2 linked regions of the Ovis aries genome follow. Each later gene encodes a partner of the first gene's protein in a complex. Links are inferred from orthologs where the notes say so. Each region holds a gene or a part of one and is shown in the gene's direction. Other genes may lie near its edges.

Evidence for each region. Proteins that work in one complex are often made in the same cells at the same time.
Region 2: the proteins of RNASEH2B (region 1) and RNASEH2C are in contact, whole or in part, in a crystal structure (PDB 3PUF), measured with the Homo sapiens proteins. The link is inferred for Ovis aries from reciprocal best matches to the Homo sapiens genes RNASEH2B and RNASEH2C. Residues at the interface, in NP_078846.2 of Homo sapiens: Arg14, Gln15, His16, Val17, Phe18, Leu19, Val20, Ser21, Glu22, Leu24, Leu35, Met36, Phe37, Val38, Lys39, Leu52, Glu62, Lys64, Phe66, Glu68, His70, His71, Ser72, Trp73, Phe74, Ile75, Asn76, Gln77, Ser78, Val79; in NP_115569.2 of Homo sapiens: Ile9, His12, Arg13, Val14, His15, Leu16, Ser18, Ala27, Thr28, Leu29, His30, Leu31, Leu32, Pro33, Cys34, Glu35, Val36, Ala37, Val38, Asp39, Gly40, Pro41, Ala42, Pro43, Val44, Gly45, Phe48, Phe63, Val75, Pro77.

Annotation. Positions count from the first base shown.
Region 1 is NC_056063.1:20,677,175-20,681,369, forward strand, and holds the start of RNASEH2B (ribonuclease H2 subunit B), read left to right. Parts: upstream 1-1,376; 5' UTR 1,377-1,655; coding exon 1,656-1,719; intron 1,720-1,855; exon of another isoform or gene 1,856-2,185; intron 2,186-4,195. UniProt on the Homo sapiens protein: Non catalytic subunit of RNase H2, an endonuclease that specifically degrades the RNA of RNA:DNA hybrids. Participates in DNA replication, possibly by mediating the removal of lagging-strand Okazaki fragment RNA primers during DNA replication.
Region 2 is NC_056074.1:40,326,448-40,329,432, reverse strand, and holds RNASEH2C (ribonuclease H2 subunit C), read left to right. Parts: upstream 1-1,292; 5' UTR 1,293-1,334; coding exon 1,335-1,506; intron 1,507-1,697; coding exon 1,698-1,876; intron 1,877-1,962; coding exon 1,963-2,169; 3' UTR 2,170-2,361; coding exon of another isoform or gene 2,362-2,388; 3' UTR 2,389-2,477; downstream 2,478-2,985. Other genes in the region: histone acetyltransferase KAT5, read right to left, coding at 2,946-2,985.

The DNA of each region.
Region 1 (4,195 bases):
CATTCTAAAGGATATCAGTCCTGGGTGTTCTTGGGAAGGACTGATGCTAAAGCTGAAACTCCAATACTTTGGCCACCTCATGCGAAGAGTTGACTCATTGGAAAAGACTCTGATGCTGGGAGGGATTGGGGGCAGGAGAAGAAGGGGAAGACAGAGGATGAGATGGCTGCATGGCATTACCGACGTGAGTTTGAGTGAACTCTGGGAGCTGGTGATGGACAGGGAGGCCTGGCATGCTGTGATTCATGGGGTCGAAAAGAGTCGGACATGGCTGAGCAGCTGAACTGAACTGGACTGTGAAAACAACCACATAAAAACACATATTCAAACAGCCAATGGCTGGGAATGTTCAGAGAAAGATGAAAATAGCTCTAGAGCAATACCTCTCTGCGGCCTGCCCCAGAGCTGGCCTCTGGGTGCCCCTCCTCTACCAGAAAGGCTTCCTCTCCGCCAGGTGCTTCGTGCAGTCACCTTCAGTTGCATTTGTCTGCCCTGGTGGGAAGTAGGATGGAAACAGAATCTTTTCAGAAGGTCGAGATGATCTAGTGCTGCAGCATTTACCTATCTTCAAGATTAAACAAAAACCGCTAAGTGCCTTAAGAGTTATGCATATTACTCTTTCATCTGTGCAAAATAAGAGTAAGACACAGGAACTTGTTTGTGAATGGAAAAATTCTGGAAGAACGGATAAGAGACTGATAACAGTAACTACCCTGGGGGAGGGGGATTGGGGGTCTGGGGTAGCAGGGTGTCAAACTTATTCTTAAGTAGGAGACACACACTTGGTACCTTTTCTAAAACCGTGTACAATTAAAATTTTATTTTTGAGAAGTTTAAATACGTAAATATCATGACTCTGACTTTGTAAACATCGCTTTTAAAAAGTCTTGACTTGTTACAAATCAACGTCTTCCAAAACAACAAATGTACATTTTGGGCCTCAAACTGTGCCCCTCTTTGGAGTAATGAGGACCAACCCCAATTTGAGGTCTGCTTTGCATGCATTTTGTCAAGAATCACAAAGCACACCAGATTCTGGCATTAATTCCAACGCAGAATGCAAGCGCTATCCAGAAACGTTGACGAGGAACAGCGGCATGAGGATTCGGGTGTGACGGACGGTTTTCGTCCTCAGGAGGAATTTGCGCCAGGCTTTGCGTCCGGCCAGGTGTGCGCGCGTCCGCCAGCCTACTGGGGCGGCGAGCGTCCAGCCTCCGGGTGCCCCACGGCCCGGGGACCCGGCCTCGCCGCGATCTCCCCGGGCCGCGCCCCGCCGCGCGCGCGGACGGCCGCTGGGAGCGCGGACCCGGAGCCTCCGGGCCCCGGCGACCCCGCCCCCGGGCCGCGTCACGGGGCGCCGCGGGTGAGCAGCTACCATTGGCCGAGCCGCGGAGGGGGGAGAGGCCGCGACCCTTCCCTGCCGGCGGGCGACGAGCCAGGGGGCCGGCAGCCTGGGCTCGGCGCTCAATTTAAACTCTGAAATCTGGGCCGCTGGCGGACTCCGGAAACGAGACGACGTTCGCCCGGCCGGCCGCGCGCCCCGGGCCCCGCCGCATTCCCGGAATCGACCCTTCTCCCGCCATTTGCCACCCGCGTCTCGCCGAGCCCGCGCTCCGAGAGCTGAGGCCCGCGGCCGCCGGGAGCGGACGAGTGGCATGGCGCGCGGCGCGGACGGCGGGGAGGGGGCTCGCGTTTGGCAGCACGTGTTCCTGCTCCCAGGTAACCACGCCGGGCCCGGGGCGGCGGCGCGCGGGCGCGGGCGCGGCCCCGGCTCCTGCCCTGGGCGGCCCTGCCCGAGAGCGCGCCGGGCGGGTTCTCGGCGACGGGGCGCGCCCCCTCCGGCCCGCGGTCCCTCGCGCGCGCGCGAACCCTGACTGTTTGCGAGTCAGCGCCGAGTCTAGGGGCTGCCAACCCCGGCCCTGCCCCCGCGGCCGCGCGTGGGGGACCCGAGTGTCACCCGGAACACGTGGTTCCTCCTCTTGGTCACAGTGCCCTCGGTTTCGCTTTTTTTTTTTAAACCTGAGCCGGAAGCGCAGAAGCAGACCGAGTGGATTTTCCCCGTTCGGGTTCTTTGTGGATCGGGTGGCCTGGAGGGAGCGGCGCAGGCTTGGGGAGGGCCGCGCGGGTTCAGGACCTGGGGGCCAGCGGCGAGGCCTGGAGGTGTCTGCTCTTGGGGTGTAATTTGGTATGTCCTAGTTGACAGTTGTCTTAGCGTCTGAGCCCTACTAGATCGGAACCTAGAATCCAATAGGTTCGCATTGACCTGAAGGCTGTGCTGTCTTAACACTTTCCCTCCACTGGGACATGCCTTGATTTGTGAGGCTGCATGGTGGTGGGGGTTAGGACAGGGGTGATTCGGAGAGATTCAGGCAGGTAGCTAAGGATTGGAGCCAGCCTTGTCAGCCTCCCCGGGATGGTGACCACATCCAGGCCTGCAGGGGCTAAAGATGATGGACGTCAGTTGCCACCTATGATGGCATGAAGTGGCAGAATAAATGGAGTTTGGGACCAGGGAGTGCAAGCCAGAAAGTTTTGGCCTTTTCATAGAAGGATACATTGATTTGATGGCGTAATTGAATATAGGAAAGCCCATTCTTCTCTGTATCTAATTTTGAGATGTAGCTCAGCAAATGCAGTATTTTTGCAGTAAATGATACTCTGATGACAGATGTAGTTGCCCAGTAATTTAGATTTTTATATGTGCTTAGTTGCTCAGTCGTGTCCGACTCTGTGATCCCTTGGACTATAGGCTCCTCTGTCCATGGGGTTTTTCAGGCAAGAATACTAGAGTGGGTAGTCATTTCCTTCTTCAGGGGATCTTCCTGACCCAGGGATAAAACCTGAATCTCTTACGTCTCCTACATTGGAGGCCGATTCTTTACCTTCTGAGCCATCAGGGAAGATTTTTATGATAGATATTGAAAGTTATTACAGGATAATCTGTCAAGGATATTTTGTGTGTGTTTAATTTTCCTCTTTGTAAAGAATTATACATATCGTTGTCCCTTTATAAAGAAATATAACATATATATTGTTGTTTAATCATTTGGTCATGACCAGTCCGACTCTTTGTGAACCCATGAACTGTAGCCCGCCAGGCTCCTCTGTCCATGGGATTTCCCAGATGAGAATACTGGAGTGGGTTGCCATTTCCTCTTCTAGGGGATCTTCCCGACCCAGGCCCAGATCATACCTGCCTCTCCTGCACTGGCAGGCAGATTCTTTACTGCTGAGCCACCTGGGAAACCCATGTACATATAGTAAAGTGTAAAAGTTTTAAGTGTGCAAGTCCATGAACTTTTCATATGTGTACACCCCTGTCACCATTCCACACATTAAGACCTAGAACTTATCCTGTGAGCTCCTCTTGCCTGTTCTAGATGGGCTCAGTAACCTCTATGCTGACCTCTGTCACCAGGTATTTGTTCTGCCTGTTTGGTCAAGCACGTGATTCTTAACCCCTTGCATCTTTTACTCAGCGTTACGTCTGTGAGGCTCATCTGTAGTCTGTAGCAGTGGTCAGGATTGTTGGTTCATTTGTGTTTTCCTTGCTGTGTCTATTTTATTGTATGCATAGTCATATTATTTTTTTCCACTACTGAGGGTGGATATTTGGATTATTTTTTCCTGATTGTAACTATTACGAGTTGCTGCTGCTGCTGCTAAGTCACTTCAGTCATGTCTGATTCTGTGCGACCCCATAGATGGCAGCCTACCAGGCTCCTCCGTCCCTGAGATTCTCCACGCAAGAACACTGGAGTGGGTTGCCATATCCTTCTCCAATGCATGAAAGTGAAAGTGAAGTCGCTCAGTCGTGTCCGACTCTTTTTGACTGCATGGACTGCAGCCCACCAGGCTCCTCCATCCATGGGATTTTCCAGGCAAGAGTACTGGAGTGGGTTGCCATTACCTTCTCCGTATTAGGAGTTACACTTCTACGAACACTTTTATGAGGCTTTAAGTAGCAGGATGTAATCATCTCTCTGTGGTGCAAACCCAGGAGTAGAATTGCTGGCCCTGGATATTGTGTTTAGCTTTGGTGGACACTGCTCAACAGTTTTCCAAAGTGGTTGTACCGATTTATTTGCCCAGCTGTGTGAGAGTTCCCGTTGCTCCACATCCTCACTGGAGATGTTTGTAGTTTGTGTAAGGCAAATTAATGCAAAATTCAGGGTTTTCATAGAGTCTAGTAAAT
Region 2 (2,985 bases), on another chromosome or scaffold:
GGCGACAGAGGATGAGGTGGTTGAATGGCATCACCAACTCAAGGGACATGAGTTTGAGCAAACTCCAGGAGATACTGAAGGACCGGGAAGCCTGGTATGCTGCAGTCCATGCAGTTGCAAAGAGTGGGACACGACTTAGCAACTGAAAAACAACAGGAAGGATTTCTAGGATTTGAACTTGTGTTTTAGGGAATTTGAGGGAGCGTTTAAGGAAGTGGGACTTTTCTTTGGATTGGATGCCTTCAGAGAGTGGGAGTATTTCTACGATGGGATATGTTAACAAACATTATCTATACGGAGGCTGACGCTATAATTGGTAAAGTAGCAACAGTCACTATATTATCCAAGATAGAAGAATTCTCATTATTTGTGTTTTGGACAATATTTGTGTTTTTGTCAGTGTTCAGGTGAGTATGAAATGATCTTCCTTTTGTTTTCATAACTCACATCACAGAGTGACCTCCTCAGATATTCTATGAAATTGTTCCTGTTCAACAGACCACCAAAGCCAGATCTTGGAAATCTAAGGATGTTTTTCTCTTTCTCAAATCTATAAATTAAACGCAATTTCAGTCTTAATAACCAGTTTTGTAGGAGTTCGTTTTATGAGAGTACTTGTCAAAATCTAAGTTGGGTATCCGGACACATTAACATTAGAGAAGTGTTAGTAGCTCAGTTGGTAAAGAATCTGCCTGCAATGCAGGAGGCTCGGGTTAGATCCCTGGGGCGGGAAGATCCCCTGCAGAAGGAAATGGCAACCCCCTCCAGTACTCTTGCTGGAGAATTCCATGGACAGAGGAGCCTGGCGGGCCACAGTCCTTGGTATCGCAGAGTCGGACACGACTGTGCGACTAACCTTAAGAAATGAACAAGGAAAGAGTACTGTGACTGAAAAGAAAAGGCAGATACATTGAATATGTGACTACAAAATAAATAAAAGTCTTCTCTGTAATAAAAATGACCAATATACAGGTTTGGAAGACAAACTAGGATAAAATATCTTCACATGTGAAGAAGGGCTGATATCCCTTCTTTGTGGTGTGTGTTACACCACAAACAAAGCACAACACTTTGTACTAATCAATGTTAAAAGTGTACTCTTAGATACCGTTTTAATTTTTTACAGTAAGAATGTATTTCGGGGGCGGAGGGTGGGCCGAGGAATTCAAGGAAAAAACCCTGGGACTGGAACGCCGGGAGGCAGGCTTGGAGAAGCGCCTCAGAGAAGAACTACGCTTCCCACGAGGCTCTGCGCCGACCGCCCCCGACAGGCTCCGCGCGCTTTGCGCGCCAGCTTTGGCCTCAGCCTGCGAGCTGCAGAGTAGTGACGGACTATGGAGAACAGCTACGAGGAGACCATCGACAAACGCCGCGTCCACCTGCGCCCTGATACACTGCGCGATCCCGCCCCCGCCTCGCTGCACCTTCTGCCCTGCGAGGTCCCGGTTAACCGGCCCACGCCGGTGGGGCGCTTCTTCACCCCAGCCATCCGCCTGGGTTCCGACGGTGAGCCCTCGCGGCCGGACTACGGCTCCCGGCGGCCCCCGCGCCAGCATCGCGCTCTCCTCCGCGAGGAACGCCGCCAGGCCTCCTGGGGATCGTGGTCCACCGGAGGCGGCGGGCGGACCGCCACCGGGCTTGCTCCCTTAGGCCTGGGTCAGACCCTCAGAGGCCCTCCCTGCTTCTGCCTCCTCCAGGACTGGAAGCGTCGTTTAGGGGCCGTAGTCTACGTGGCGAGGAGGTGGTGGTGCCGCCCGACTTCGTGGGATATGTGATGACAGAAGAGAAGGCAGAAGTGTTGGTGGTGAAGCAGGATGACCACGAGCGAGAAGAGCAGGAACTGGAGGAACCCCCCGAGGCGCTGGAGCGGGACTGCGTGAGCACTGGGGGATAGGGTTGGAAGGGAGCCCGGGTGGGAACCGCAGCCCGGATGCTGAGCCAGGGCCCCTTCCCGGCCCCCAGGACCGCTTTATGGGAGCCACAGCCAGCTTCAGCAGCTTCACCGTGTGGGGCCTGGAATCTATCCCTGGTCCGGATGCCAAACTGCGTGGGGCCCTAAGCTGGCCCAGCCTCGCTGCAGCGGTGAGTAGATGGATGGGCCCTCTCCCTCCCAGGCTTTATCTAACACCGAACCCACCCCCCCCCACCCCCGGCCCCACCCCAGCCTGAGTGAATTTGGGGCTGGGGCGAACAATGGGGCAGATGGAGACCCAGTCTGACTGGAGGATTAGACTGGGTAGGGACAGCATGGCTTCCCCAGCACTCTTCTCTGGCCTTCTAGAAGGGCTATGATTCTGAATATCTGGGCCACCCAGTCACTATACTGCAGAAATCCAATAGTAGAGGTGATTCCTGTTGCAGATTCACGCACAGGTACCCGAAGACTGAGAACCAGAGCTTGACATTGAAAGCCACCGAACCCCTCACCCCAGTGTGAAGCCAGAGTCCTTCACCCAATAAAGGAGCTTTTCACAGAACCTGTGAGTTTGCCAACACTGCCCCTTCTCCCACAGAACCTTCCATAGCTCTGACCTCTAGGAACAATTTATTGCCAGGGGGCAATGGGGCAGAAGAGGCCATAATTTTGCAACCAGTACCCACCACACCCCAGCTCCTACTTTACAAAAGAAATTTGTACAGCCGTCAGTCCTCTGTACAAGGCACCCCACCCACCCCTCTTACTATATACACAGCTGCCTGGCTCCCTCTGGTCCCTGGTTCACAGCAGGCCTGGGCCTGCAGCCAGCTGACCGTGGAGTTGCCATGAGCCCTGAGCTCGCCTTGGTGCTGGGCACCAGCTAGCCTTGACCAGGCCCGTCCTCTCCTTTTGGAGTGGTCCTCAGCCCTGTCTCCCTTGGTGTGCCTCTTGGAGACCCTGCTGGGGGCGAGATGGCTGCCAGCTTCAGTTCTGCTGCCTTTGCTGGCATTCCCCGGGCAGCGTCCGGTCACCACTTTCCCCTCTTGCTCCAGTCCTTGGGAGTGAAG